Lepisosteus oculatus: one gene and its partners. The protein of the gene in region 1 purifies or fractionates together with the protein of each later gene. This does not show direct contact. Links are inferred from orthologs where the notes say so. Each region holds a gene or a part of one and is shown in the gene's direction. Other genes may lie near its edges.

What was found.
Region 2: the proteins of ptp4a2b (region 1) and cnnm2b purify together in Homo sapiens (affinity purification with mass spectrometry; 4 studies listed by BioGRID and IntAct, counting the BioPlex papers as one, with this or other methods). This does not show direct contact. The link is inferred for Lepisosteus oculatus from reciprocal best matches to the Homo sapiens genes PTP4A2 and CNNM2.
Region 3: the proteins of ptp4a2b (region 1) and rabggtb purify together in Homo sapiens (affinity purification with mass spectrometry; 3 studies listed by BioGRID and IntAct, counting the BioPlex papers as one, with this or other methods). This does not show direct contact. The link is inferred for Lepisosteus oculatus from reciprocal best matches to the Homo sapiens genes PTP4A2 and RABGGTB.
Region 4: the proteins of ptp4a2b (region 1) and metal transporter CNNM4 purify together in Homo sapiens (affinity purification with mass spectrometry; 6 studies listed by BioGRID and IntAct, counting the BioPlex papers as one, with this or other methods). This does not show direct contact. The link is inferred for Lepisosteus oculatus from reciprocal best matches to the Homo sapiens genes PTP4A2 and CNNM4.

Annotation. Positions count from the first base shown.
Region 1 is NC_090706.1:1,404,794-1,412,723, reverse strand, and holds the start of ptp4a2b (protein tyrosine phosphatase type IVA 2), read left to right. Parts: upstream 1-4,928; 5' UTR 4,929-5,128; intron 5,129-7,930.
Region 2 is NC_090699.1:36,010,213-36,017,330, forward strand, and holds the start of cnnm2b (metal transporter CNNM2), read left to right. Parts: upstream 1-4,113; 5' UTR 4,114-4,306; coding exon 4,307-5,789; intron 5,790-7,118.
Region 3 is NC_090704.1:4,133,999-4,141,987, reverse strand, and holds the start of rabggtb (geranylgeranyl transferase type-2 subunit beta), read left to right. Parts: upstream 1-4,980; 5' UTR 4,981-4,995; coding exon 4,996-5,073; intron 5,074-5,579; coding exon 5,580-5,687; intron 5,688-6,238; coding exon 6,239-6,436; intron 6,437-6,931; coding exon 6,932-7,037; intron 7,038-7,678; coding exon 7,679-7,731; intron 7,732-7,857; coding exon 7,858-7,968; intron 7,969-7,989. Other genes in the region: acadm (medium-chain specific acyl-CoA dehydrogenase, mitochondrial), read left to right, coding at 1-30, 115-210, 303-551, 1,704-1,775. UniProt on the Homo sapiens protein: Catalyzes the transfer of a geranylgeranyl moiety from geranylgeranyl diphosphate to both cysteines of Rab proteins with the C-terminal sequence -XXCC, -XCXC and -CCXX, such as RAB1A, RAB3A, RAB5A and RAB7A.
Region 4 is NC_090697.1:69,731,491-69,739,095, forward strand, and holds the start of metal transporter CNNM4, read left to right. Parts: upstream 1-4,601; 5' UTR 4,602-4,619; coding exon 4,620-6,021; intron 6,022-7,605. Other genes in the region: lman2la (lectin, mannose-binding 2-like a), read right to left, coding at 1,472-1,673. UniProt on the Homo sapiens protein: Probable metal transporter. The interaction with the metal ion chaperone COX11 suggests that it may play a role in sensory neuron functions. May play a role in biomineralization and retinal function.

The DNA of each region.
Region 1 (7,930 bases):
AATACAGTTAGCATTTTTTGTCTCAATTTGCAAACTGATATGTGCTACGTTTTCTACTAGGTCGTTAAAACCATGTCCAGACTAATACCCACATGGCCCTGAGTGTTTGGCTTGTGTAGATGTTTTCATGTGGGGGCGATGATAAGATAGGGCTTCTGAGTCAATGTTTGGCTTCCTCCTCTTTCCCTTGAAGTCTAAAGTCTTGTCTTGGCTGGAAGGTGTCAGGAGAACCCAATGGCTGTAGCTCCAGTGTACTCTTGGTAGTGTCTTCAGTGGCGAAGGGGGGGACAACAGGGCTCGAAGAGATTGCAGGTTCTGTCCTGGACGCAGAGGCCGGAGGTCGAGATTGTGCAACAGCGAAATGACCCCGATCGAGACCGAGAGTGGCCTGAGAGAGGGATGACGGCGTGTGCCTTAATTATCCTTGGATCACTTGGAACTGGATCACAGAAACATGCACACGCACGCAATGATGACCGAATGTAAAACCGCTGCAGGTGGGCATTGCCATGGGGTGATGGGATAAAGTGAACTGCAGTTAGATTGTTCCCAGGCGTGATGTCCAGGCACAATGCACACTCCGGTGCTGTCCCCCCGCAGCTTCGCGGCACGTTACCGAAATCCTCGCGCTTGGCTCGTGTCATGGCGGCCGGTAGAAAAGCGAAGTCTCGATGAGAGGGCCGACAGCAGTCTGTGTCGTGCGTGAAGCAACCCCGGCTCCCGCTGGGATCGGAGCGCGCTTGCTCCCCTCTCTGAGCAGCGGGCAATGACTTCACACCGCAGGACCGAGCCTCCGCGCGGGCGAGTCTCCGGAGGGGGTGAAGTCATTTCCGCGGCTCTGCTCCCGCGGGAACCCTGTGACGTCAGCACACGCGCTTCGGCAGCTGAGGTAAAGTAGTTTGGTTTTTTTTAGAGGAAGGTGAAGCTAGATCAGGCAGGTTTTCTGCACTTTTCAAGGGGGAACGCCATCGCTTTTATCCTTTCGTTGTCATGTCCAGTGTTGCCGGGAACTCCAGTATTAGGTTTCGAGCTTTATTTTCGTTTATTTGTGGTCCATTAAAGAGATGGTAATCGCTTAAAAAAAGTGAAAAATCTCTACGTCGACGCCTTTTAGGTTGCTGGTGAATAACGCTTAAATGGATTGCCTATACTTAATTTAAGGACCCTTTGCTACAGCGTAGTTTACAGTGCATTGAGGAATATCTGGGTTGTGAGATGTCTAGTCATGCGTTCGAAGCCAAGATCCTCTCAAGAAAGAGCTGCTCGAGGGTCTCGGATCAGTTAGCTACTGAAAACCAAATAGGCTGTTTGAACCGCAGGCCCCTCTCGTCCGCCATCCCTCTGACTTCATATCTAGTGCCATTGAGATGTAAGATGGAAACTAGGCTATTAAATACACTTCCCCGTACTATAGAACGTTTTTAGCGAATGTCTGTTGAGTTTTCCTTCTTCCTTGCAAATGTATTCTTTTGCTGATTATGACAGGGGACAATGTGATGGTCGCGACCATCTTTTTACATGAAAGTGAAGAATGTGAGAGGAAGCTTGGAGAGAAGAACAACAGCCCTCTGCATTGCTTCGGGACTGACGGGAGTGCTTCCCAAAATGATTCAGTTACACCCCATCTTTTCATCTGTAGACTCTGGTTTCCAAGCGTTTATAGTCAATAGATTGTAGGTGGTGGGGGAAGAAACAAACAGATTCCCACGTTCTTATAAGGACAATCCGTGAGCGGTAAAGTGGATTTTGAACAGTGAAGCGAGCCTTATGATTTAAAAAAAAAAGTACAGCCCTCCAAACATCGGGAAAACTTCACAAAAACTCTTTTTTTTAAGGAACGCGACCAATCTAAACTAACGGGGCGTGCATTCTAATGGATCGGAGTCAAGCAAGTGTATAATACTGTCAAAACTAATCCGTGGTGGCCGAGTCACAAGACTCAGCTCTATACGTGTTCCAAAAATACGGCTCTAACTCTTTTTGTATTTACTTTAACTTCTAAAGCCTGTTAGCTTGATTTAAAAGAAATACATGCTTGTCCGACAGTATTTCCCTTCCAGTATTTCCGAATTGCACTCCCTCGCACTGTTGTATACTTTGCAGTTAACGAAAAAGGCTTGTAAATGATCATTATTGTGACATTCCTAGACAATGCAAGGCATGTTCTTGTTATTTATGCTGGTTTTTATTTTTATTTTTGTTTTTCCTTTATTTTGTGTACTCCAAGAATGACATGCTGTACAACTTACTCATACCCATTTCTTAGCAGGTGTCATGAAGAAGGATGCATGGTATTGTGTGTTTTTGTCACTTCCCCCTCTGGAAGTATGTAAATGTTACAAAGCAAATTTAAGCAGGTATTTAGTGCTCATATAATGAAAGACTACTTTAGAAAATACAGCTAAGAAAAAGTGCCTTATTTAGATTCCTAAGGGATATTGTATTTTTTTCTTTTGGATTAGAAAATTGGCCCATTGCATTACCATTTGCACAAAACAAGACATTGTAAAACTATGTTTCTTCTTGTATAATGACAACAATTCTACAACTGGATATCTAAATCAAAAAGTCTGTATTTGCTAAAAGGATATGTGACTGCCTCTACATTTTTCAAATGAGTAATCAGTGCACCTTGGTGCTGATTTTGAAGGATTGCTTTTATGTAAGTTCTGTTTTCTGTCTAATGTACTATGTAGCAAACTATAGGATATTTGTTTTTTCTTTGAAATTGTCTATTACATGCACTGTCTGTAATAGGAAGTGGGTATAAAATGCACTCCTGTTTTTCTTGTGATTTTAAAAGATTTTTTTCTTTTGAAACTAAAACTACAGTACTTGATTGTATTGATACCACATCAATAAAGAGTATCTTGTATATGTGTTTTGTCTCCTTATTACTTATATTATTATTTTCATTAGTGTGGTGTAGTATTATAATAGGGTAACTAGTCAGAATTGCAATAGTACAATTTAAGAGACTTAACTCACTGGTTTTGCCTGGAAAAAATGATTGAATCACCAAATGTTCCCCTCACATAAAATATCCTTCCAGACTGCCTTCAAACCTAGAAATGATAAATAAACATATGATCCTACAGGAGAGTGCCAAAATATTTGTAGATCTCTGAAAATATCCCACAGGGAACATCCTGCAGGACTTTTTCAGGAAAAATAATGGAATCCCGAAGAAGCCTTTTGGGATATGATAGAGATTTTACCCCCAGAATATAAAAGATTCTAGAGGCATTCTGCAGGACATGTTTGAATCATGCAGAATTTGCATGCAGGGACTAAATCATATCTTTAAAAAAATGACTGACTGAGGCATGCGAAAAAAGAATGGGATTTTACTGTATATCCATCTTATTTGAATTTCAGTGCACATTGTAGAAGACTACAATACTCATGAAAACCGACTGCGGTTAAATCACGCTGCACAGGACTGTTTGAGCTCTGGGTACAAGTGTATACATACTGTACAAGTGTATCACTTCAGAGTCATGCACAGTATTTCCCAACGATCGGCTCCCGTACACGGGGTGTATTTGTCATGAGAAATGATGCAATGATTTGGGGACGAACAAGATTCCAACACAGATGTGCCTTGCAAGTGATGTCCTGTGAAAGGTTTATTCTATTGGATCCAGAACAGTGGGTTTCATTTTTTTCGCTTGTTATAACTTATTTTCCCCCAGTGGGTGGCAGTATCATAAGCTCTTGGGACACAAGAGTGTCCTAGAAAAGATGTTGTGTAGTGGGCAAATAGCCCTGGCGCCTCACAGCCCCCCAGTCCTGGGTTGAAGTCGAGATGGGTGGAGTTTGCATGTTCTTCCTAGGAGAACATCTAGCTCCCACCCCCCACCCCCCCATGTGAGTTTTCTCTGGCTTCTCCCATTTCCCCCCACAAACCAGAGACATGTTGTCTGGAGTAGCTGACATGTCTACAATGTCTTAATATCTACTTGTTAAGATCCATGCTTGCATTTCAGCATTGCAAATAATATCACCAGATATCACCAAAACCTAACATACGAAATCAAACAGAGCCTGGCCAAACCATTACCAAGAGGCTTTCAACAAATTAGATTAAAATAATTGTTTTCCTTTCTCATTCTCATCTAAAAAGATTGGAAAGGGTTCCAAATAAATACTGTGTGCATTCTTGTTGGGAACTTAAAACAATAAGGGGGCTTATTTTGATGTTATTGTGGGAATACACAAAGTTTCCATTGAAATGAATCCAAACTCTTTTACTTTCACTCGAAGCCGAGTAAAACTCCATTATTTCAAACCATCAGCTTTATTTCACATGAGGGACAACCTAATTATAATAACTAGTTTATTGATCTTGATGCAAACGTTTTACCATATATACACTGCATTATTAGCGCAGTGTAAGTTGCACAGGTAAGTGAAAATAGGGTGCGCGGTGCACTTGCACAGAGTGACACATCGGTGCTATTGTCCTCAGTCACCTGATGAAGAAGAAATGTAAGCGGTCTCTGTCGTTCATTCTGACACACCCATGACTCATCAGCTGAAGGCGCTTCACGATAAAACAAGGCAACAGGGAGACCAACAGAGACAGCTGCCTGCAATAAACTGCAAACTGCAATAAACCTGATTAAAAGCCTCTGTATCCAAGCGAGTTTTAAGGGCGGGAGTTTTAAAAGCGCAGCAATAAAATTTTTCTTTTCCAACACCGAGCGTGCTGCAGTAAGGTGACACGCCCCTTTTTTTTCCCCCGCGTGGTTGTGATTTTTATGTTTGATGTTCTACGTCGCTTTTGTTTGTTTGTTTGTTTTCTTTTTCTTTCTTTCCTTCTTTGGACGCGAGGTCCCGCCTCGCGCTGGGGCCACCCAGGCCGCCGGCGCCGCCCCGTCGCTTTAACGTGTGTAGTACGTCACCGGCGCGGCGGGTGACGTGGAGCGCAGCCCCTCCCCGCCGGGGGGAGGGAACGAGCGAGCGCGAGAGGGAGGGAAGCAGGCAGGCTGGCTGGGTCGCTCGCGGCGCTCGGAGCAGACGACGACAACAACAGCGGCGGCAGCAGCAGCCAACGGTCACGGCAGTAAAACGTCCACTTTTCTCCGGGGGTTGTCACGGGATTTCAATGAGCAGCCTGCCCTTTGTAAGTCCGAGTCCCCGCTTTTCCTCCCGCCTCTTCCCTGGCTCCGGGGTGGCCCGTGTGTGCGCCGGGGAAAGTGAGGCGAGGCGGCAGCCATTAGGAGTGAGCGTCGGTATAATCCGCTGCCGCTCGCCGGTCTCATCTTTCGGCTCTAATTGCTTGTTGTTTTTTTTTTTTTTAAATAATTCCGGTCTGTGGCTTGCACTGCCGGCGAAGGTGTTTTCCGTTTCCTTCGATCCTCTGCTCGTGTGTCGTGGTGGGTCCGGGCGAGGCTTTTTAATTCCGAAGGGGACAAAAAAGATGATATATAGACATACGTGTGTCTGATCCGAAAACGGCCTCACGACGTGTAGCTCCCTTTGTTGGGACTTCATAGTTCCAGCGATACGTGTGTGTGTGTATAGATATATTTTAGATGAAGTTGTACGTGTTTCGTGGGCGTTAGGGTTACTACTAGTTTGCTTGTTCGCAACTTCCTGATGTCTGTTTAAAGAAGAGTCTGTTTCCATGTGGAGGTTGCAAAGAAAAAAAAAACCTCAACGAAACTCCTTGAAGTAGTCTGAAAAATAATTATCCCATCGTGGCGAAAAACAAAAATAGCGTCCGTGGAGGAGGGGGACGAGTGCGAGTTTGTCGGGGTTCATTGGGAGGGGAGAACAAAGCCGTTTAAAAGGCTTTTTTTAAATTGGAAAAACGCGACGCGATGTGCTTGCTGGGTTAAAGGGATTTAAAAAAACCCGTGCGAGGCTTGAAGCCTGAGCTGTGCATATACATGGACTTGAGTCTGGGGAGGGAGAGAGACGGCCGACATCTTCTGAGTTGTGTGTGTGTGTATATATATAGTCTTGGCTTGCAAAGAAATCGGTTCTTTCGGAAGAGCATTGCATTGCAAGAGCCTTACAACGGGCTTGCACACATGCATGTATATTTACACGCCGTGTGTATGTATGGCTGTAGTTGTGTGCGCGAAATTGGCTGTCTGCTGTCGGGGGGGAGGGAGGGTAGGTCGTGAAACAGCTGTCACTGAAATGCGTCATCACCACGTTGAAACTCCGCTGCGAGCAGGCAGGACCAGCATCTCGCCTGCTGACGCGAGTCCGGCCTTTTTCTTTGGGTTTCGTAAGTCATTTGCAGAACAAGGAGCGGTGTGTAACTTGAAACTGAGGCGCAGAGCCTGGGCTGGCTGGCTGGGTCTGGATCTCCGCGCACTAATCGTCAGCACAGTAATCACAATAACAGGAATTGATGATGATGATGATGACCGCCGGGCGTCGTCTCCTGCCCCGGCTCTAGGTCACTTGCCCTTGTGCGGGAATCCACGCCACGGTCAGCGGTGTCCCGGCCTGGGGCCCGCTCGTGCAGATTCACGGGCTGCCACGGCCCTGCTGAGTGGACGAAGGTGTTGTTTTATTTAATTGTTGTTTAAAAGGGGGAGTTATCTGTGCGCCCTTGATGACGGAGGGGGCAGATCTCTGAAGGTTTCGCTTTCATTGTTCACGCGGCTCTCAGCTGGGGCGGCCAGCCCACTCCGCGAGTGGCGTGGGGGGCTCTCCGGATATTTGCATGCAGCTGTCGGCGTTGCGGTTCGGGACGTGGAGGGTGGTTGTTACCGGCGCCCCCCCCAGAAGGTCACTTGCTGTGAATCAGCATGCAGCCCCACCCCACACCCCTCGCTGGCTGGCTGGCCGGGTTGGTCGGTCGTCGCCGTGGTCAAGCCCGGCCAAGTGGCGTTTTGCGGTGTACATGCGGAGTGTCTCTGACCTGTCACCTGTCCGCAGCTCTCCGGCAGGGCGCCTCATTGAGACTGGCTGTGCTCCCCCACTCTCTCCTTTTAAATGTGTTTTTCGCAGGTGAAATTGTATGATTTTTTTAACATTGCTAAATGGACATCTTTTTTTAATCAAATCTTTAATTTACACTCCACTTCGGAAGTCCAGTGGGCCCTCTTTCTGTCTGGTGTTGTAAAGAGGCAGGGCTGGGGTAGGTTGCTGTTGTGTGATGTCCGGTGGAGGGGGCTACTTCTGTTGTTACTCCAGTGTGGAGGCCCTTGATGCCCATGCTTGCTCTTAGCTGGCTTGGTATTGGTGTTACTGTCGTGATCCTGACTGTCCTCTAAAGGTTGTTCTGAGGTACAGACGCAAACCCGGTGGTTGGCTACATCTGGGCCTGACTAAAACCGGTCCAAGGGGCTCCCCGCCGGCTGGGGCCGGGTCCGACTCTCTCCGGTTGCTGCGGTTCTGCTGTCGCACTTGTGTTCTCTGTGCACCAAATGTGCAGCTGCCTCAGCGCCTCCAGTCTGCATGTTTGAGCTACAGAAGTGCCTGGTTGTGCCCACGTGTTTCATGTGGTGCGTCTGTCTTTTGGAGTCTCCCAGCCCCTTCTCCTCCCTCACACTCTCCACCTGGCTCCTGGCTGGCTTCTCTCTCTCTCTCACAGAAGGGCTGGACATCTGACAATTAAAATATTTGAGATGTGTGACATGAAACCCCCCCCCAATGTCATATCCTTCTGCAATTTATTCTGGATAAATCGATCGAAACCCGTGTTGCTCGTTCAGGTCGTGGGAGTGGCCTGTAAGCCATCCTGCGTTTAATTTCGTCGTGTTTTACAGAGTGTCGGAGTGATGTTATAAGCCAGCTTCCTCCCCCACCCCCTCATCTTTTGTGTGCATAGTGTTCATGTGAGAGTGGGGTCAGTGTGCTGCTGTCTGTGGCTGGTGTTGTCATCCCCAGGGGGCTGCTGAAAGCCTCCAGCCTCGCTGCTGCTTCCCTGTAATGAAATGCTGCTTCTCAAAGATGTTTATTA
Region 2 (7,118 bases), on another chromosome or scaffold:
GTGACTTGTGATTGTAAACATCTAGAATTTAGAATGTTGTTTTTGACAAGGACTAAGATCATGTATTGTGCTGCATTTTCAATCTTTTGCCACCGAAATGTAAATTGTTACACTTCAGTCTGAAATATGATTCTCTAAGCAACCAAGTTTGTGAAAAAGATGTCGGCTTGGCTAAGTGTCACCAGTTGAAGATAATTGTAACACAGCATGCACACCTTAATTGCATGACCTTAGGTTCATGTTCAGTAAAGAAAAAAAAGTTGTTGTTTTTTTAAATCAGATTTGCCCCAGCAAAGCAAGTTCCAGAAAATAGATTGTTTTATGTTTTTTACTTCTGTGGTTTTTAATTTTTACTTCAGTTTCATTCTGGTAATGGTAAATGTTTTCTGTCTGTGTAGTCAAGGACTTGAATTGTCATAAGGGGAAAGTGCTCATTTGAAAAAAGTTTGCATGTGTAGCCTTGTATACTGGGGACTAAATTATAAAAACCCACAGAGAGCAGGGTGGGTATACATAATACACATTACCTTGCGTATAAGTTAGGAAAGTTTGCTGTTTTGGTGCCAACTAAAAATATCTTTCTTCAGAGATGTTGTTTCCTGCTTATGTTTAATTTTATATTTAGTGATCACTTGTATCCATTTAATATACAATGTATATTTCACTAAGGGTGCCTCTTAATGTGATCCTTTCCTTCGAATGAACAAACAGAATAATTTTCTATAATTATAAGATTGCATTAATCCTCTGTGCAAAAGGCTGAACTGAACAAGGCAATAAACAATACTCTGCTATATGTGTGTTTTGGTTATTTTTGGCTTAAAACATCCTTTTTATGCATTTCACATTTTATTGGTTCATGATTTTTCCAACACTTTCACTTTCATTGTTTTTCTGTAATGTGGTGAGCAAGTTTGCTTTTGTCACTGATAGATAAGATCACTTTATTGGCCATATACAATTTCTTGTATTATTAATTTGTCTTTTTTTTGGCATACCCCATCTTCCTCTCCATGAAACACACAGTCGGGGACAGAAGCTTGGGGTCAGAGCACAGGGTCAGCCATTTATATGGCACTCCTGGAGCACTTGGGGTTAAGTGCCTTGCTCAGGGGCCCAACAGAGTAGGATTCCTCTGCCGGCTGCAGGATTTGAACCGGCAACCTTTCAGCCACAGGCGCAGATCCTCAGCCACAGAGCCACCACGCCAATGCTTCCATCCGCTCTGCGTGTTCAGTGATGTTCAGTCTGTACTTCAGAAACCCCAGCCCTTCTATGACAACCGAGAGAAACTGAACCCCCCTTAAAGACTTAATTTTTACGTTAATTATAATACAGTATTCAATAATTAATGCCTTTTCTAAATATAGGCCAGAGTGTCTATGCAGTACTACCATTTGTCACAAGAGGGCGAAAATGGCACACGACAATTTGCCATTAAAACCTGTTTGTCAAACCATTGAGAAAAGATCCGTTTCTGGACTTTCTTTTTTCAACAGAGCAGTGGAATGTTCTAGACTGCAGAGCGGATGGAAGCATGTTGTCTGTTATACAAAAGGTAGTGGGAGCTTGGGCCCTGGCTCAATACCTAGGGTGCTGTCTGCGTGGAGTTTGTGTGTTGTCTCCTGGTTTGTGTAGTTTCCTCTAGGTGCTCCAGTTTCGTCTCCCAGTTCAAAAACTGTTGCTGGACAGAATAGGCTTCAGCTCCAGCTGTCCCCAAACACTATAATGGCTACATCAGTTAGAAAATGGATGGATGGACATCCAGGTTTACAAAGATATTAGAGATTTTTGTACTAACCAGTTTTCTTCATACACTCTTTTAACTTCAAGCAACTTTTTCCCTCAGTGTACTGGATTACCTCCTCCTAAGTTATGGCCGCAGGACATCCCTTCAAAGGTATATATTTTATCCTGTTTAAAAATAAACTCACTTCTTGATGCAGTTTTCCTCTGTTTCTCTTTTTCCTTTACTAGTGATTTGATGAGTTCTTCGTTTTTTGCGGGAGGAATCTCAAAAAGAATTTTTTGGTAAAAATATTGATTCTAATATATATATTTTAATTTAAATTACTTTAAATGTAGACGTATAAGCTATTTTTAATTGCTTGATTATTCTTTTGGCCTCTGCAGAAATAGAATCACGCACATTGAGAACATGTGCGAAGAGGACTCTAAAATAAAGCTGCAGGACATGTTAAAACTTACAAATACCTGCGCTATTTAAAAAAAAACGTTTATAGACAAACTACAAAACGGTTTGAGGGTGATTGATTCCATAAAACCCTTTGAAATGGCACAACTCGGGGCTGCTTCGGGTCAGAGTGGTGAGGAATTTGTTGCTACACGTGCTGCTCATGCCATCGCCACGCCCCGTGTTATCTTTGACACGCCCCCTCAGCGCCGCAGTTCGGAGGCCACGCCCCTGGGTCTCCGCCAGCGTCCCCTTCACACGTTTGGGGAAGTTTCGCTTCTCAGAGGAAGATTTAAGATATCTAATCTGATCTATTTCAGTGTTCGCTGATATGTTTATAAAAAGGAATTTGTTGTGCTATTTATACTGGATTTTAATGTTCTGTTGCTTACATATAAGGCACTGAACGGTCTCGCTCAAGGTTACTTTAGGACTTTTATTGCTTGAGTATAGTCCAACACTTGATCTGAGATGTGCTGATTCAGGTCTTCCTTTTTTTACTTGCGGCCAGGCTCACACGATGAAAGCCAGAGCACCACGATTTTAAAACTCACTGCCAAAAATCGGAGACTATGTATCCGTTGCTTTTTTTTACTAAACTTTTCATGTATGATTTTACTTTTGGTATTATTTGGTCAATTTACTGAGTGATTGTTTACTGACGTGGTGTTTTATGCGTGTACACTCGTGCAGCGCTTTTTTTATAACACTTCTAACTATAGCATTAACTCGTTTTTTCATGTTTTATTTTAGAATTTGCTTTGAAAGATAGCCTAAACCTCAGACAGTTCAATGTGTTATTAAAATACAGATGCCTGGATTATCCCAGGCGGTTGATGTTTTGTTTTTATGAGTGTTGCTCACGGACGTTTGAATTAGTGCATTGTTATTAAATTGTTTGATGATTAACTAATCAATAAAATACAAAGATAAAGGCACCTGTGTTTAATATCTACAAAGATTACAAAGTAATATTCCGCACCTTCTTTAAAGCTGTAGCTGAACCCAAGATACTAGGATCCTTAACGTCTAAAGCGTAGGTTTGAACATTTTGTTTAGACAACCACTACTACTTATCAAGATGTTGATTTCTTTTCTTTTTTTACTTAGAAACGTTTTATGTAATCGGCGTTTGGTATGCTACGTGACGTCCGGTAGTCGGTGTGTTACCGGTAGTAATATTACCATTCACCTACATTACTCTCAGAATTACAGCAGTTTAGGTATTTTGGATGTCAAGGTGACCGAAAGATGTACAATATGTGTTATGTTTACCGACTGCCGAAAGGAAAAACGAAGGGATTACGTCAGTTTACTATTCCCTTATGAAACTGGAAGAAAGAACAGGTACAGATTTATGCGAACATTAAACACATGAATAAAACAAAACACAACCAACTGCTCTTAACGTAGACGGTGAGATGCTTAACAGCAAAAACACACACGTCGTTACTGATGGCCTTTTTTCTTCCTAGCTTTCAAGGGGATTTCATTGAAGTTATGTATTAGGTCATCACACATCTTTGCAGAAAGAACTAGCATGAAGCTTCATTATTGTGAAAAGTCACAGTAAAACTACTCTCAATTTAAAACGGCTCTAAAGCCCTTATTTATCATAATTGCACCTGTTATCCACCTGCAGTCTCACGCCTGTCTCATTGACGGATGTTTCAGGAAGTGGGCAGGAACAACACCTTCATTGGTTGCCGAGATCCCCTCCCCTTCATCAGACCTACCCCCTCCTACACCTTATTTGCTGCCTTCAACCCTCCGTCAAAATAAGTCACGAGGACGGCCCTGGGCAGTAACTCCGCCCCCATATGTTTGTTTTCTTTTCTTATTGGCTTTTGCCTCGGAAAACACCCCGCCTCCTTATAAAATCGGTAGTTGATTGGGTGCGGGGGCCGCCCGTCTTTGGGCATCACGAGGAACACGAGTTCATACTGTGCTTGCTCCGCTGTGTTGTTGGTCAGAGGAGCTGGAGACGCGTGGTGGGAGCAGACAGGTCTGATGCATGAGTCAAGGAAACCCGCAGAGGAGATGAAGGCGGACTCCGATTGGCTGTGATTTTTAAAAGCCCTCTTCTTTTAAAAGCGGTTGCCCACAATCAAGATGGCAGAGCGCTCGGCCACAGTGCCCACTTTAAAGATGGCGGCGCTCAGCCGGGTCCGAGTTCTGGCTCTGGTATTCTTTACAGTCAGCGGCTGTTTGGTGAGCTTGTCCAGCGGCGAGGAAGGGGCAGAAGAGACGGTTATCATTGGGCTCAGACTAGAAGACACAGACGACGTTTCCTTTATGGACGGGGGGTCCCTGCGGGTCAGCGAAAGGACCCGGGTCAAGCTGAGAGTCTATGGGCAAAACATTAACAACGAGACGTGGTCCAAAATCGCCTTTACAGAGCATGAGCGGAGCAAAGTCGTTGGCAACATTGACAGCACCACTAGGGATAATAAGAGCAAAGAGGATACCTCAAGCTATCATCCCTGTGGCATTAGGACTTCGGATATTATAATTTTGCCCAATATTGTCTTAAATAGAAAGACTTCTGGCATAGTGGAAATTGAAATTAAGCCTCTGCGGAAAACGGAGAAGAGCAAAGCCTACTACTTGTGCATTGCCATGCCAACACCTGCTGTGTCTGGCGTGCACGACCCATGGACTGAGACCACCTGGATCTACCATGACGGAGAGGACACGAAAGTGATAGTGGTGGAGGAGAGGAAGTTCTTGCTGCCCTTTTGGCTGCAGGTCATTTTCATCTCGCTGCTGCTCTGTCTCTCGGGCATGTTCAGTGGGCTGAACCTGGGACTGATGGCGCTGGACCCCATGGAACTACGCATCGTCCAGAACTGCGGCACGGAGAAGGAGAAGAACTACGCCAAGAAAATCGAGCCGGTCCGGAGTCAAGGGAACTACCTGCTCTGCTCGCTGCTCCTGGGGAACGTGCTTGTGAACACCACCCTGACCATTCTGTTGGATGACATCGCAGGCTCGGGGTTGATAGCTGTGGTGGTGTCCACCATCGGGATCGTGATCTTTGGCGAAATTGTGCCCCAGGCGATCTGCTCCCGGCACGGTCTGGCTGTAGGTGCGAACACCATCTTTCTGACCAAATTTTTCATGCTGCTCACTTTTCCTGCGTCGTACCCCGTGAGCAAACTCTTGGACTGCGTCTTGGGGCAGGAGATTGGCACGGTGTACAACAGGGAGAAGCTCCTGGAGATGCTGAGGGTCACAGATCCCTACAATGACCTGGTCAAAGAGGAGCTCAACATCATCCAGGGCGCCCTGGAGCTCAGGACTAAGACCGTGGAAGATGTCATGACTCCCCTGCGCGACTGCTTCATGATCACCGCCGACGCCATCCTCGACTTCAACACCATGTCTGAGATCATGGAGAGTGGGTACACTCGGATCCCCGTCTACGAAGGGGAGAGATCTAACATTGTGGACCTTCTGTTCGTTAAGGACTTGGCCTTTGTCGACCCGGACGACAGCACACCATTGAAAACCATCACCAAGTTCTATAGCCATCCCTTGCATTTTGTTTTCAATGACACCAAACTGGATGCCATGCTGGAGGAATTCAAGAAAGGTGGGGCAGTATTTTTTTTCACTCACTTTGTTTACCTCCTTCAGATATTTATTGCATTTTAATGTTTCACCTTGGCAAGGGTTGAGTTGTAACACTTCTAGTGATGAGTGCTCTGATAAAGTGCGCCGAGTCTTTGTCATAACTGAGCGTGAGATTGGCATAGGACATGTCAATGTACAGTTATTTCCCTGATTACCATGGGGAATAAATGCGGTCTGATGATGCGGCTGTCTATAAGGTGTTTTCACAAGTATTTCCGAAAGTAGTTCGGTTTCTGGAAAAAGGTTGGTTCCCGATTTGGAACATCAGACACTTATCGCGATCTACTGTATATCAACCAGGATTCTGTATGAGGTTTTGCTGTTTTTGCACTTCTTGCTTCCCCGGTGTTCAGATGGCAAAGCGCTGCGCATTTTCATGCGGTAAACAAACAACAGTGCATCTTGCATCCTGCCACTCGCAGTCCTGTCGGGAGGGTGAATAAATTATGCCCATTCCCGTCGGGGGTTTGTTTGTTTGTTTGTTTTTGTCTTCATCCGCTCTTGTGGCTTGTGGAAAGTACGTGTGGCGGGTTGCAGGTCGCCAGGTGCTGCAGCGGTGCAGTGCCCCACACGCTGGCTGAGAGGACCGGGCGCAGGCACTGTGGGGGCTGAGCTGCCAGAGGGTACCAGTGCTGCCTGCTCAGCGATTCACGGGCTCATCAGATTGCTGTTTGAGTCCGAGGTGTACCCATCGCATCTACTGTGTTCAAAGGCGAATTGATCCAAACACTTATTACCTGTACGCTACCGCCACGACCCGATATGCACAAATCGCAATCACGCGGACGATGGGATCGTCGTGGATCCAAATCGCATAAAACATATGTATATATTCATCAGTTTCCCTACGGGATCAATAAAGTCTTATCTATCTAAATGTCGCCCAGTTAGATTGAAATTTCGCAGGCCTTATCTAATTTTTCTACGGCGTTTTGCAACTTGATGGCCGCCTGAACGGTTTATTTTATTGCGCAGGTGGCACTGGGGAAAAAAAACCCGTTAATAAAAATCAACTGCACTGATTCTAACCGCTACTGATTTCAAAATAGCATTTTTGAGATCAAACGTAGTTGTTATATTTTCTTTCATTCTCCCGATGAAGCTCCAAACGCCTATTGTATTCTAAAACACGATACACACGTTACACGTGGGCGTTTCAATGAAATATTGTCTAGTATGAGCTATCCATCCAACTTGTTTTTACCTGTAAAACAAATGAAATAATATTATTCCGATGTCAGTGATTTGCAGAAAGGGCAAATGTTTTGTTTGGTTAATGCTTGTTAGT
Region 3 (7,989 bases), on another chromosome or scaffold:
ATGGGAGCTTTTGATAAGACCAGGCCTCCGGTGAGTGTCGGAAACGTATTTCATTATTATTATTATTAATATTATTATTATTATGATGATGATGATTATTTAATTATCTGGCAGGTGGCAGCGGGAGCTACAGGCCTGGCACAGCGGGCTCTGGACGAAGCGACGAAATACGCTTTGGAGAGGAAGACCTTCGGCAGGCTCATCGCCGAAGTAAGTGCGCCCGTGGGGGAGTGGAGGGGGAGCGGCTGGGCGTGTCCGTTTAGGAGGGGAACGAGTCGTTTTGTCCTTGTGTGTCCCGTCAGCACCAGGCCATCTCCTTCCTGCTGGCGGAGATGGCCATGAAGGTGGAGCTGGCCAGGATGGCCTACCAGAGGTCCGCCTGGGAGGTGGACGAAGGCCGCAGAAATACCTACTACGCCTCCATCGCCAAGGCGTTCGCCGGAGACATCGCGAACCAAGTCGCCAGCGACGCGGTTCAGATCTTCGGAGGCAACGGGTTCAACAGTGAATATCCTGTGGAGAAGCTGATGAGAGATGCCAAGATCTACCAGGTACATCTCTGGAATGCACCCAATAAAATATTTATTATTGTTTGTTTTTTTTTGCTTTTATTATTATTTCAGTGGTGTTGAACAGCGAAAGCAAAAACTTTTTTTTTAACATAAAGCAATTTATTTGTAATATCCCGCATTAAAGTTTCCAATTGCTGGCAGTAGGCATGCATGGAAACATGCACCACTGCTCTTATTTTACAGTATATCAGTGATCTAGGTTCTGGTACAGTTAGCAAAGCACTTATTCTTTCAGATGGTATCAAAAGGGAAGTTTAGCAAACGGTAAAGTACAGCGTATAAAATTAAATAAAATTCAAGTCTGGTCTAACAAATTCCTGGCAGATGACCTTTTAAGATAAGTGCAGGGTTTACCTGCAGGTAGCAACACTAAATACAAACTGGGAAACACTGAGTAAGATGTTTATGTTGACACATTTACATCTTCTAGACAACGTGGGGAAGCTTTTGAAAAAGGGAACAAAGTGAATTAAAAGCAAAGGTTTTACGGATGTTATGATGAAAGTATAACCCCCCTGTAGGCCTCATTTACCATAATGTTTCCAATTTCAGTCACCATGTTATAGAAAAGATATTGCTGCTCTGGATTCAGTCCAGCAAAGATCAACCAGATGCATTCAGGACCTCAGGGAATGTCCTGCACTGACAGACTGAGGAACTGAACCTTCTTAGTTCAGTTCTACTAGAAAATGTCACATGTGGACCTGATACAAGTATTCAAAATCCTCAGAGACCCTGGCAGAGTCAAGCCAGTGGACATTTACGGAGTGAACAGCGAATCGTGAACCAGAGGCGTTCTGTGGAAATGCATTTAAAACTGATAACAGGAGACACTCCTTTACCCAAAGGGCTGTGAGATGATTGAACACGATACCCAGCCATGTTGCTGATGTCTAATACCCTGACTTCTTTCCAGAAACTGCTGGATGAGATCTGTGGCTACTAACAGCCAAACAATCTAGATGGGTCAAATGCCTCCTCTCCTTTTTACCCACCTTTCTAATGTTCATGGGATTAAAATGTGTGGTGTCATTGATGTATATACATTCGTTTTTCAGATTGTTTTTTTTAATAAAAAATGTTGGCTCACTGATTGTGAGAGATTTTAATCAACATTATTTTCTTTTTCAGATCTATGAAGGTACAGCTCAGGTCCAGAGGATGATCATTGCTCGTGAACACATTGGAAAATACAAACAGTGATTGCACTTTTTTCCTGTAACAGTCTTCCCTTTGTTATAATTTTATGTCCTGTATGTAGAGTATCAACGACTATCAATGCAAGTACGTTCTTTGCCTTCCATATTTTAAATAAATTGGTGCCTATGACACAATACGTGAGCCTTAGAAAATGGTAACCTGAAGCCTTTAAAAGCCTTTATATACTGTTATCAAAGATAAGAGCTGCATTTGGGAACTAATTTTTGCAAAGCTGAAATAAAAAGGATGTTATATATTAAAGTTTTCTGGTTGGGTTTTTTTTACAATGTTTTTATGTATCTTTAATGGGGAAGCACACATCTGGATTGTCCTGGGTGTGTTTGTTTGCCTTTGGGTAGATACTGTACCAATTCTACAGGATATTGCTGATGCTCAGAGGAATGTTCCTACTAACACGAAGGAAATAGTTTCAATTCCACCACTGTTAGTTGTGTAAATTAACGCTAAATTGTACAAATCTAGTGTAGCATGTTTTGTTTGCTAAGTGAGCAAGTTTGAGTTCATGGCATTTGTTTGCTCTGTAGAAAATAGACTTCTTAGGTTGAATTTTGCCACAAAGGAGACTGATTTTGTCACGTCTCAGATCCTGAGCAAGGATGGATCTGGTCAGTACTGGGCTGAGAGAAGCCTGGAAAAAATTTCCTGCTGTAAGCCAGTGGTGTTAAACTCAGCTCAAAGTCTTTCATGGCTGAGTGCTGAAATGCAGCTCAGTAGAAGCACAGTTACCTATAAAACACCATCAAGCCCGGTTAGAATTATTAACAGTTATATAGTCGATCGACAGCTGTGTAACTGAGAGCTCAATGAGTGATAATGATGTTTTATTTATTCAAGAACAAGCTGTACAAATGCACATATAATACAGATACCAGAAGAAAAGGTAAAGAGGAAAAGAACAACAAACTGATTCAGTTTTAAATTTCATGCTGAAAGCTGTAGTGAACAGACAGGTCTGCAAGAGAGGTCTAGAAAAGTCAGCAGCTGAAGAGTAATGCATTTGGGCAGCACGTCCTCCACGATGACTCTGTTGCCCTTTGCTTACAGCTTGGTCTTCAGCAGACATACTGTAGACACCCCGAATCATCAGATCTATTGAGATTACGTCTCCACATTGGCTAGTCCGGCCTTCCCTTGTTTGTAAGGTATATTCTAAAGAGTAATAGTTTGCTCATTTAACCAACACTTAAAAGATATTTCAGTGCCCTATATATGAGCATGAGAACCTTTTTGTTCACACTAAATTCCACATATAGACAATGCAATTTATGTGGTACAGGATTTAGGTGCTGATGCAGAATACTTTTAGTTGTTGCAGAGATGTTGGGATCATATGAGCCTAAACTCAGTCTTGACACAGTCAAGCCCAGAATAGTTCTGTTGCACCCATATCTGAACATCATAGAGACACCTGTGAAGTGCAGAAAGCACAGTGGTATTTGATTTGGTCTCCTGGTAGATCTGAATGTTATCAGAAAATCATTAATTACCTTAACAAAGGCTGTTTTAGTACTTTGTCTCTCTGCAAACCCCAAGCCAAAAGGCACAACGAGCACATGAGGAACTTCTAATTGAACTACAACTGCCCTTTCAGAATTTTTCTGAGAAAAATGCCAACTGGGAAAAGCAGTTTGTACTGTGATCGCGCTTAACAGTAGACACACACGTGGGAAGTTTCGATTTGAGTTTAATGTGTAGATATGTGGCGACAGATAAGTTGGTATCTAAAGGCGTTTTACAGAGCCAAGATGGCGGATGCAAATAAGCAGTTTCCAAATACTGTATTTGACGATTAAATTGCTTCAGACTGTGCTGTCACACATGTGAACTGTGAAACTCAGTAGTAGTCGTAATTTCTGTATTCATTAATCTTTTTATAGAGCGAGGATTTCTTTAAACAGAAAACTTATATAATTACCACCCTCCTCCGGCGAAGATTTGGGCAGGCTTTGTTTTATGACGTAGTTATTGTGGGACGCGATTCAGGGACATCACCCAAGAATGGTAGGTGCTGTTCATCGGTCTACATATTTTGTTTTCTTATATGTATATGTGTATATTTCAAGGATGAAACAGAGGCATTTGTCATATGAAATAATAATGTCTACCTACCGTTCTGTACACGTTTTAAGCACACTGCAAATAGAAGTGACATGTCCCAGAGCAAAAAGCTGTTAGACCGTGAATAGAAATGAATTTAAATCCTGCAATTTTATAAAGGTTTAAATGCCTGACAGCTAATCGCGAATGTGAGCCGTTTCTTAACCTGGTAACGCTTTGACTGCATTAAAAAATAGAATAACATCTGTCATTTAACAGAAGCTAATGTGCTTGTCCGCAAACATATCCCTGTCGGAATTTAATGGCATCTGGAGTGATGCGTAACTAGACGTTGAATCTTTTCCCTTTGTCATACAGGACGTTTGGTGTATTTCGATGTTCCGCATTATTGGTCGTAAGACATCGTTTTAGGAGATTAAAAACTCGTACGTTAAGTATGTTTTTAGAGGAGTGGTTTAGGGATACGTAATGGATAATTTAAGCGGTGAGCATCGGGAATTGTGCTACAACAAAAACCGTTTTCTGACAGTTGGTCCGTCTAACAATCTGAACAAAAAAAACATGTTGAAAAGTTAGAGCAACACCAGTCAGTATTCGGCTTAGCCAGTGGACATTTTCATATGTGTTCATATAAACGTGTACGTGCTGCAGAAAAGGCTGTCTTTTTCTGTGGGTTTTTTTCCGATACCATTGCGAATTTATCGCAGTTGTAAATAATACTTATTTTGATGCTCAGTGCAGTGTCTTGGGGGGGCATGTCACTTTGTCCGTCTGTCTAATTCCACATGTAACTGTTTGTTTTTGGACAGTTTTAGTGTTGATGAACAATACCTTGTGACCTTAAACCGCTTCAGTCTGATTTCTCAGTGGAATTAATCGAGTAACGCGTTAAATCAGTGCATTCAGTTCCATCCCACGTAATATCCCCATCCTGTAAAAGACGGTTAAGGATTTAAGTGGCACTTGTCATGGGGTGTTCCAAACACATGATCAAACATGTCAAAAACCGCATGTAAGGGTGTGTTTGTTTCCAGTACTTGTAGGTTGTCTAAAAAAAAAGTTATAAAAATATGAAGAGATGTGTCATTTCATTGTAACTATTTAATTTAAAGATTAGGAGCTGATTGCTCACAAGAACAAAACGATGTATCATCTGTGTTGTGCCAATATTTTTGTTTCTCTAGGAAATGACTGTGCACAAACTTGTTGTGTTCCTAATCAGGTCAGTCAGTGTGTATCTATAGTCATTCACAGAAATGTACATTTTTCTTGTATAAAAATGCAATAACCCCCCATCACCTCAGTAGTTATTTATGTATCATTAAGGTAAGCCATTGCAATTTTAAATCCTAAATAATTGTAATATGTTTATTGACTCATTTTATCCTTCAGTGTCCCTCAAATATAGTTCATTTGAAGGAAATAAAAATTAAGAAATTAAAAATGATTTTTTTTTCACTAAATAAGGAGAATTGTGTAGTATTTAAGTCCAGAAGGTTTTCTTCTTATAAAAGAGAAACTGTAAAGTCCACACACATAGTTCCTTGTAAAGTAAGCTTATCTGATTTCTGTAGTAAATTAATACTTGCTTTACATGTAATAATTACAATACAATAAAAATAATGACATGTTCCTAAAAAATGCACATTACTGTATATTGTTTTAAAAATCGCTCTTTGTTTGAAAATGTCTGTGGGTTCCCTTTACTAATCCTCTGCGTTATTCCAGGGCACTCAAGTTAAAGATGTCGTTATAAAGCCTGATGCTCCAAGTGTGCTTCTGTTGGACAAACATGCAGACTATATCGCAGCTTATGGTACCAAGAAGGACGACTATGTATGTATCTGCACAAGTGACAAAGGGCACACTTTCTTTTACTCTTTCCTTCATGATCCAGTAATTAGATCTGTACTTTAAAACACAGAAGCATTTAAGCGAGTAGCATTTTCAGGTGCTGCTTTAACAGCAGGAATGAATCTAGCTCTTCATGATTTAAGAGGCAGTGGTTTATTACAGCAAATCATCAGAAGCTGAAATTGCGTTTTTGTTTTTGAAAGAGTGTATCGTCTTTTAAAGAAGGGCAAAAAGTTTAGAAACCCTCTAAAACAGCCATACCTCTCTGAAACCCTTCCAGTGTTTTCTCAGTCTTGGTGAGTCCAACCCAAACGGCGGCTAAGCTTGTGATTTAGTGAGTGAAACTGACTTCTTTTTCCGTAAATCCGTATGTTTGTCCTTCCAGAAATGAGAACAGATGATAACGCTTTTTACTCTCACTGGTCATCCGCAAAAGTGGATACCTAGGAGGTGGCATTTATTAAAGACCTCCTGGTCGCTTTTTCAGTGTTGATTTTTGTGTTGTTGTTTCGGATCTCTCCCGTCTCCACCAGGAGTACACCCTGTCGGAATACCTGCGCATGAGCGGCATCTACTGGGGTCTGACGGTAATGGATCTGATGGGGCAGCTGCATCGGATGAACGAGGACGAGATTATAGAATTTGTCAAGCAGTGCCAGCATGAGAGTGGAGGAATCAGTGCCAGTATAGGACATGACCCTCACCTGCTCTATACTCTCAGTGCTGTTCAGGTACAACTCTTAAAGAGGTTGTTGTTTTTTTTCCCCTCTAGGTTTAACCAACCGATTCGAGATTCATTTTGATAAGTGCATTTGGTGACCAACTTGCTGTGTGCCTAACAATTTCTTTTTAAAAAAGCTTAGATGAAATCTGTTTTCTACCTTGAAGCATGATAGTGCCCATCTCTTTCTCTCTTTAATATGAAAAATTAAAAGACCAAATGGTGTGATTCTCATTGCTGCTTTGTGTCTAGAAAAAACAGTTCCTGGCATAAACCTGGTGTAGACAGGCTGTTGAAATAGTGTCAGTCTTCCAGTCAAACACGTTTAATCTCTTCACCTGTTTTCTATGAGAGGTTAATTTAACCTAATATTTTAAATTTATCTTGTGAGTTTTTAAGTCTTACACTCAAAGAAAGAGATATTCCCCTTTTATTTCAAAATAGCTAATTGTCGCATTTGCGTATCTTGGATTTCTGTGTTCACCGTTTTTCTGGTGTTTTTCAGATTCTCTCTCTGTATGATAGTCTCTCTGTGATCGATGTGGATAAAGTGGTTGAATACGTGAAAGGGTTACAACAGGAGGATGGATCTTTTGCTGGGGACAAATGGGGTGAGTGGATTGTTTTAGGTGTCATTTATTTGAATGTGTGCTGCTAGTCGATAGTCCAAGTGTTTCTTAAAATGTTTTATACTTCAGCACATTAAAGCAGTGGAATTATTTGTATGCTGAACTACCTGTTTCCCTCTGCTGACAGCAAAAAAGTCCTCTTCTCTAGCACTAGCAGACTTGTGAGAAATGTTTATTTGTATAAAAGTCAGATGAAAAAGCCTATATATGCTAAGTTATCCCTTCCTGTAATTATCCAATTTAAATCTTCATTATTAATGCATTATATATGTCTAGTGTTTGTTACCCTCTCGTTTTACTCAGCTTGTGACATTTGTCATTCATCTCAGACAGCGGTGTCCAGTCCTGGTCCTGGAGGGCTAGTGTGCCTGTAGGTTTCTAGTCCAGCTCAGATCCTGAAGAGCCGACACAGCTGGTTACTGGCTTAACCAGGACTTTAGCAGCTTCTCCGAGGTCTTCGGGCCCGGCTTTTTAAACCCGCAGGTGCACCAGCCCTTCGGGATCAGGACAGCCCCGATCAGAGCTGTCTCTCGTAACATTGCAATGAGAGCCTGTGTGATTTCGATGGTTCCTGTTAAGAACATCGAGTCTCTAGTTACATTTGTGTCCTTGTTTTGTTCTAGGTGAGATAGATACGAGGTTTTCCTTCTGTGCAGTGGCAACCCTGGCTTTGCTGGTAAGAGCATCTTTACAAACTTCATAGTGTCTGTTTATGAGACGATGGTGTTTGTTAGCTCTAATTCTGCCATTTTTTACTCTGTGCCTCTGGCTTAGCGTTCAGTGCGAATGACTGGTCTTTCAGGGCAAGCTGGACACCATTAACGTAGACAAGGCAGTGGAGTTTGTCCTTTTCTGCATGAATTTCGATGGAGGATTTGGCTGTAGACCGGGCTCAGAATCTCATGCAGGGCAGGTAGGTTTTTAGAAAAACCTT
Region 4 (7,605 bases), on another chromosome or scaffold:
GTTAGCAAATGAGATTGACTGACTGAGCAGCCATTAAAATGTTTAAGGTCTGTGGATTTGAGAGGTCAGTGTGGCCGGACAACTGATTCCTTTCTTTTTCTAGTACTTGACGGTACATTACATCTGACAAGACAGTTTGATACTGACAAACAAGATTTATTTGAACGGGGAACTTATTGTTATTCTTGGGATTATGGGGCACTGCGATCAACATGAGGGGATTCGTAATTTCCTTCCCATTGTAAATGTAAGGAACGGGTAAGGGTTCATTGCGTGCTGAAAGGTAAAGAAAAGATACACAATGTTTCTGGCTGTGGAACCTTTTTCAGGTGACACATTGAAGGCAAATTGAAAGCACTTTGAAGCGAAAACACCGGTTCGTATTCCAACCACTAGGGGGAGCTATATTACTTTGAACGTTTTGCTATGGTGTGACTGTTTTCCTTACACTTATTTAGCGCTTTACAGGTAATGGGGACTCCCCCGACCACTACCATGATGCAACAGCAGCCAAAGTGCGCCAGAGTAATGAAGCCAATTCATTTAGCTATATACCTGCGTAAGATCTCATACTGTATCGGTTAACCAACATAAAAATTGCTCCATAATATTATTTAGGGATGAATTAAAGTGGTTTACACTTCTACCTTTTTTACAGTTTTAATTGTGAACAGAACTTGCAGGCTGGTTTAAAAACACGGTTATGCATACTGCAAAACACAGAATCAGACCAGGAAAAAAACACTTCCATTCGGTTTCTCCGCCAAGGCAAAGGAACCAAAATCACGTACTCGTGTGATCAGGGTTAGGGTTACACACTCCAGAAACCAAAGCAGCCTGCATCGCGGTTGCTCAATTCAACTTGCTGAACCGCCTTGTCAGGTCGGGCTGACCTGTGTACCGGCGGCAACTTTCATGTGAGATTATGGCAAGGCCTCCTCCTTACTCGCTCTCTCGCCTACATCGTTCACCTGTGTTCCCCCAGAACATAATTCCTGAAATGGCTGTGACTGGATGACTACCTCGCGTCAGATTTCGCAACACAACAGCACTGGTCTGGTCAGGTCGCCTCTACTTCTTGCATTACGCAATCCAAGCCAGGCGAGTCACGACGTGCAGGGCTAGGAGGCTAGGAGTCAGGTGCATGCATCAATAAAGCCACGCTGTTTTAAACGCGTGTTGTCAGTGCTCGGGTTGACTTCATATTGTAACGCTTACGGATATTTAGCGTTGCCATGGTTTGACAAGCCTGTCGAAAACACTAGCTACTGAAGATAACGTGACTGTGTTGGCGGATATTTTAGTGCACTTCACGTCGAGTCGATCCGATCCGCCAAGCCAGTGTCAGAAAGCGAAGGCAGCTGGAGATTTCAGCGCTGTCATTTGATTTGCAGGGAGAGTCTTTTCTCTCTCCCGCTATGATCGATCCGCTCTCACCCTCCCCGTTCATCTGTACCGTAATGGATCTTACCTTGGTACGGCTTGATCAGCGAATGCTCCCTTTTCAGGAACTCTTCCACCTCGTGTCCTTCGTCACCCCAGCACGGGCTTGCCGTGAGCAGGATGAAGACAACTGCGAACGGGATCTTTTTGATCATATTGTGAAAAGAAATGAAATAAAAAATTCCCTTGCGAGCCCCAGCTAGAACCTTCCCGTTCATGGCAGCGGCCATTTTGCTCCTCCCCCTCCCTCCATGACACGCCTTTCCCCACCTACCTCGCCTCTCAGTGGCTGGTAGGATGTGTTGTCATCAACTATTCGCTGCACTGAACTGCCATTCACGAGTCTAACTCTACCTGTGCCCCGCCCCCGATGAATAATGACAGTTCGTTGGAAGCGAAATATGATTGGTTCAGGGGCTAATACCCGCCCACTTGTGAGACTTTTGGGATTCTATTGGTAAAAGTTATTATCAATTAAAGAGACTCCAAACATCCCGCCCACTCCCGGAAGCAGTTGCCTTGGTAACTGATTCCGTTAGGAGGGTGAATAGTAAGATGTTGAAAATGTTTGTCTAATAGTGTAACGTTAAAAAACCAATCTGAACACTTAAAAAAGTTTTTCTTAGCCACAGGCCATATACCTTCTACTTGAGCGTTACTTGTTTCTTTCAAGTTTCAAAAAGACAAAATCACATTTCGTAGAAGTATGTCGGATAGCACAAGAAATCAAAACCGAGAATAGGAACGATTTTTTAATGAACTGTAGCTACATATGCTTAAAAGTTTTGCTATGTTTATGTTTTTATTATCTACCCGAAACGTATTATTAAATAACGAGGTTTCCTATGATACTTAAAGTGCATATAGTCGAACGGAATTATTTTCCAGAACCGCAAGCACAGCGGATGTGCTTTTGGATGTTTCTTCCTTACTGATCTCATCCTGGACTTTTGAGGTGGAAACCTTAAAACCTTAAAAGCAGTTTTCCAAGAAGCCCGGTACGCTCACCCGAGCAGGGACTGGTTTGTCGCGGGGCAGGACCTGGGTGTGACGCCTTGCTTCCTCTCAAAGAGCAGCAATTTCTTTTTCTGAAGACTAATATTTCGCTTGGAAGCCTGACGTTCATATTTAGCAAGGGATTTGATGGAACAATTGCAATGAAATTATTTAAGCTTCTACATTTTCATCTTATAATTAATAGTTTGATGTTTGATATTTGTTTTTTGAGAGCAAAGGGTCAAAGAATCCGCAGTCTGATGATTTTCCAAACTTTGCATATGAAAGGCCGTCGAAAGTGTGTTTTTAAAACGGTTTACGAAGCCAAAATTGTAACAGCGACTGAACTCAAGCAAGCCCGGGAATTCATTTCGAAATCTAATGCATCTTGAGGCTGACTCATGTGGCTCACGAATGTCTGAACGCAGACCTGAAACATAGGAGAATGAAATCATGTGCGCTAAATATGACATAGTGTTTATAACGCCCGATCACAGCCTAGCCACAAAGCCCTATTCAGACAGAAGACTCATTTCCTGGAAACCGCTAACTGAGAGGCTGTGGAGCGCTGAGCAGTTTTGAGCTCTGTCACATGGCATATACTGTAAGGCCGCAGTTAGGCTTTTTAGTTTTGTTTCCCGCCTCTGGCGTCGCCGACAGGGAACGTGATCTGTTCTCATCATTTTGCCCTTTACCTTATATTGGCTGTTGTTTCTTTCTCGGTCCTCCCCGTGCGCTCTTTCACTCACAATACAGCCAATAACACGCTTCTCCAAAACCTTCCCACTACAATTTAACGCTTATTCATAATCCCAAAAAATCCTACAACCCTGTACTTGTGCTCTTCTATTGTTTGCTATAATTATAGTTTACGAGTAATCTTTGCTTTGCTCTGATAGTGTTTGTATAAGTTGTTTGTTACTCTAGTATTCTATTTTATTGGCCTTTATCGGTCATTTATGCACATATATCAATCTACAAATCCCCTTTGATATCGAGGTGGCATCGGCAGGAAAACACTATGTTAACGATTTATGATAGTCCTCAGTATTTTAACTATATTATGTTAAGAGGATTTTTTTGCGGGCTTAGTCAATTCCAATCAAAACTTCCACATTCGCATGTACAGCAGGTGGGATTAAGAGGTTCTCCTAATCTACTTGGAAAAGTCATGATAAGTGCTAAAATAATTGTGTCGGGAATAATTCTGTGTACTGAGAATTATTCTGAGCTGTTCAATAAAAAAGCATTTTTGTTCAGTTTACAGTCCATTTCATCACAACGTTTGTTTTAAGAATGAATTAAAGAGTTTTTATTTTTTAGCTCTTGAGAGATTGACGGTATTCATTATAATTATTGTAATAAAGTAAATAAACGCATGATTTCATCCTCATTTGTAGTAAAAATGTTTGGATTACAAGTCATTCTTCCGGTACCCCCACCCCCACAGCACCCTTCATTTAGCTTTGCTGGATTTCATTCTTTAAAAGTGTGGAGGCTGAGGCTGCGTGATGTCATTATCACCCAATCAGGGGCCACCCGGACATGATGATGTAATGTTTACCAGCAAGTTCAGTAGCACTGCGGTTCAATCGGATATAATCACTGAAAAAAAAAGTTAAAACGCCTTTTTTATTTTTATGAGGATATTATTTTAACATCACTGTCAAAATGGTGAACCTCATTAAGATTCGATGTTCTGTAGCTAATATATAAACTATATATGGAGTGCATACTTATTCCGTCTGAAGTAGTAAACGATATATTTGTATTTTATAATTACAGTGAAAAAAATAGTATAATTTCCTAAATTTCTTATTATTAATTAAAAGACTCTTACTCTTACTGGAACACTTGAAAAGTTGAATTGCTAAATATCACATATACGTCAGTTATGCCATCGGTATGTGCATCTATGTCAGTTAAAACAGTCTTAAAGGATAGTTAAAGGAATTGCTTTCAGGATATACTATGAACAATAACGACTCCAATTAAATAAAAATATTTCCTTCCATCTTAACAAGTGCACTGCTCTTCCTTAAAAAGAAAGTGATGATTTAGAAGGCGGCCCTAACGTCATATGTGGGCGGTATAGAAGGCGGGGTTAGGATAATGAAGAGGCGGGTTTTAAGAAATGAGTAGGTGACGTCAGCTCCCAGCTTGCGGAGAGTGAAACAAACATGGCGACAGACTGGAGTGGGCAGGGGTATATTCTAACTTTGATCGTTTTTCTATGGAGCTCAACAGCTGGACGAATGGAGGCAGCAACCGCAGAGGTCAGTAACAGCCAGATCTTGGGCATGCGGCTGGTGTGGAGCAACAAGTCGGCCACGACCACCAACGAGGGAATCATCCAGGTAACAGAGGGCAGTGAGGTCCAGCTCAGGTTTTACGGGCTGCAGCTAAACTCGGGCACCTGGTCACAGATCAGGTTTACGGAACACGGAGACGGAGTGGGAGAGGGCGAAAACAATGCCTTTAGCCACTCTTTTAACAGGACTTGCGCCGATTTCACCAAAGACATCGCGATCAATAATTTCATGAACGTCAGCAGCCAGGGCACCTCCGGGGTGCTCAAATTAGCCATCAAGACGCTCCGCAAGAGCGAAGAGTCCAAGGAGTACAGCTTGTGCGTGAAACGCAGCCCGGAAGGCGAGTGGGACCTGTTCGGGGAGAACGATGGCAAGCTGAAGGTGGTGGAGGAGAAGTCGTCGCTGCTCCCGCTCTGGCTGCAGATCATATTGATCGCCCTGCTGCTGTTACTGTCCGGCATGTTCAGCGGACTGAACCTGGGGCTGATGGCTTTAGATCCCATGGAGCTCCGCATCGTGCAGAGCTGCGGTACGGAAAAGGAGAAGAAGTACGCCCGCAAGATCGAGCCCATCCGCAGGAAGGGCAACTACCTTCTGTGCTCGCTCCTGCTGGGCAACGTGCTCGTCAACACGACCTTGACCATCCTGCTGGACGACCTGATTGGATCTGGCCTGGCTGCGGTGGTGGCCTCCACCATCGGCATCGTCATCTTCGGGGAGATCATGCCCCAGGCGCTGTGCTCTCGCCACGGCCTGGCCGTGGGGGCCAACACCATCGTGCTGACCAAGTTCTTCATGCTGCTCACCTTGCCCATGTCCTACCCCATCAGCAAGCTGCTGGACTGCGTGCTGGGCCAGGAGATCGGCACCGTCTACAACCGGGAGAAGCTGGTGGGGATGCTCAAGGTGACGGAGCCCTACAACGACCTGGTGAAAGAGGAGCTCAACATGATCCAGGGGGCGCTGGAGCTGCGGACCAAAACCGTGGAGGACGTCATGACCCCCCTGAGCAACTGCTTCATGATCCACAGCGACGCCGTGCTGGACTTCAACACCATGTCCGAGATCATGGAGAGCGGCTACACCCGCATCCCGGTGTTCGAGGACGAGCGCTCCAACATCGTGGACATCCTGTACGTCAAGGACCTGGCCTTCGTGGACCCAGACGACTGCACCACGCTGAAGACCATCACCAAGTTCTACAACCACCCGGTCCACTTCGTCTTCCACGACACCAAGCTGGACGCCATGCTGGAGGAGTTCAAGAAAGGTAGGGCCCGTCGTCATAGCAACAGAAGCTTGTCGAGCGCATGGGACTGGCGCGGTGTCAAAGAAGAGCACTGGAGAGCTTCTGCTGCTGAAAAGCCTAAGGCTGGAAGCCGCAGTGTGTTTTGCAGTTCCAGACTGGTCTCATTTGTCAGTCTGGTTTGCCCACCTCTTTTTCATGTTGTTGTAAAGATGGCGTTCATTAAAAGGTATGAACAGCGCCTCTGTCTTTTTTAAATTAGCACTGTGGGGAAAAAGAGGGTATAAGGTTTGTTAGCCTTGGTTTTCTCCTCCCAGGAGTCATTGACACCTCTCTTCTGGTATATAATGATGTGCAGGGCTCCATACTCAGGATTTACTGTTGCTCTTTGTGCGTTCATGACCTCACAAATCTAAAACGTCCTCAGAAGTGATGAATATAGTTTCATGCTTTCGAGTTTAAACATTTGTGTTTTTAGGTCTGTGTGTCCGACCGGCTCTGCAGGCATCCTGTGTTGGGTTGTTTCACGAAGCAAAATGATCTGTGCGTTCTCATTTCTAATCCCTCCTCCGCCCGCTTACCACTTGTATTTCTGACAGGACAAACACTCGGGGCTGACGGATTGAGAAATCATTTCAGGCTCGAGTGTTATTGTGTGAGTGAAGAGTTGTGCAGCTAAGTTAGACCATCCAAGTTGTCCTTACAGGATACGTCCCTCTTTGTGTCTGTCCATGTATCTGATCTTGTCTGCCAGCCTCTGCAAATATCTGTATGCCTGGCTCTCTGCCCTTCTTACATCAGTGGTGTTGGGGAGACTGCTGTGGCTGTTGCTCTGCGAAGGCGTGTGTGGTTGCACGGCTGAAGTTACAGGCTGCCTCTGTGCTGTGTGTCTCCCGCGGACGTGCCGGTGTCCCCTCGCTCACCCTGTGCACTGAAACCTTTGGAGAGGAGACAGGTTTGCAGATTATGCAGCAGTGTGGTACAGCAATTCCAATGCTTTGTCGGGAGGCCGCCATCAGGCCCTTAAAGAGGCAGCACCAGTAAGGACACACCAGGGCGCCTCTGACTAGGCGTCTGCTGGAGTGTTTTTCCATTCAGGCTGCTGAGGGGCTGGGATGTTGGTGAACATTTCTCCATGTGTCGTTTTGATGCTTTGTGTTTTCACAACCGCCTATGTTCCCAGCTCCCTGTGGGGCTTCTTTTAAACAAACATTTACTGTTTAGCAAAGAATTTCAAGACAGAAATGTGCATGTGAGAATTGGAGAGAGAGTTAATTGCCATATTCCTTCAAGGCTAACAAAAAGAAAAAGCTCTCAAGGGGAATGAAACCCATGCTTTGTTTCAGGGCTTAACAGCTACAGTTCTGCCTCTCCTCTTCCTGCTGTGGTATCCAAACTCCTTTTTTTTGCACCATCTGTCCTGTCCGAAGTGACATGAAGGCTGGGGTGTGCAGACTCACTGAGGGTCTGATGATCCCCTGATCCCCTGATGAACCGAGCTCGTTATTTACTCAGCAAGACTCTTTCATCTCTAGTGCTTCACCCAGGTTTTAAACTGCTCCCAGTTTTAAGGTTATAAAGCTGACAGAGCTGTAGCCTTTGAGGTTA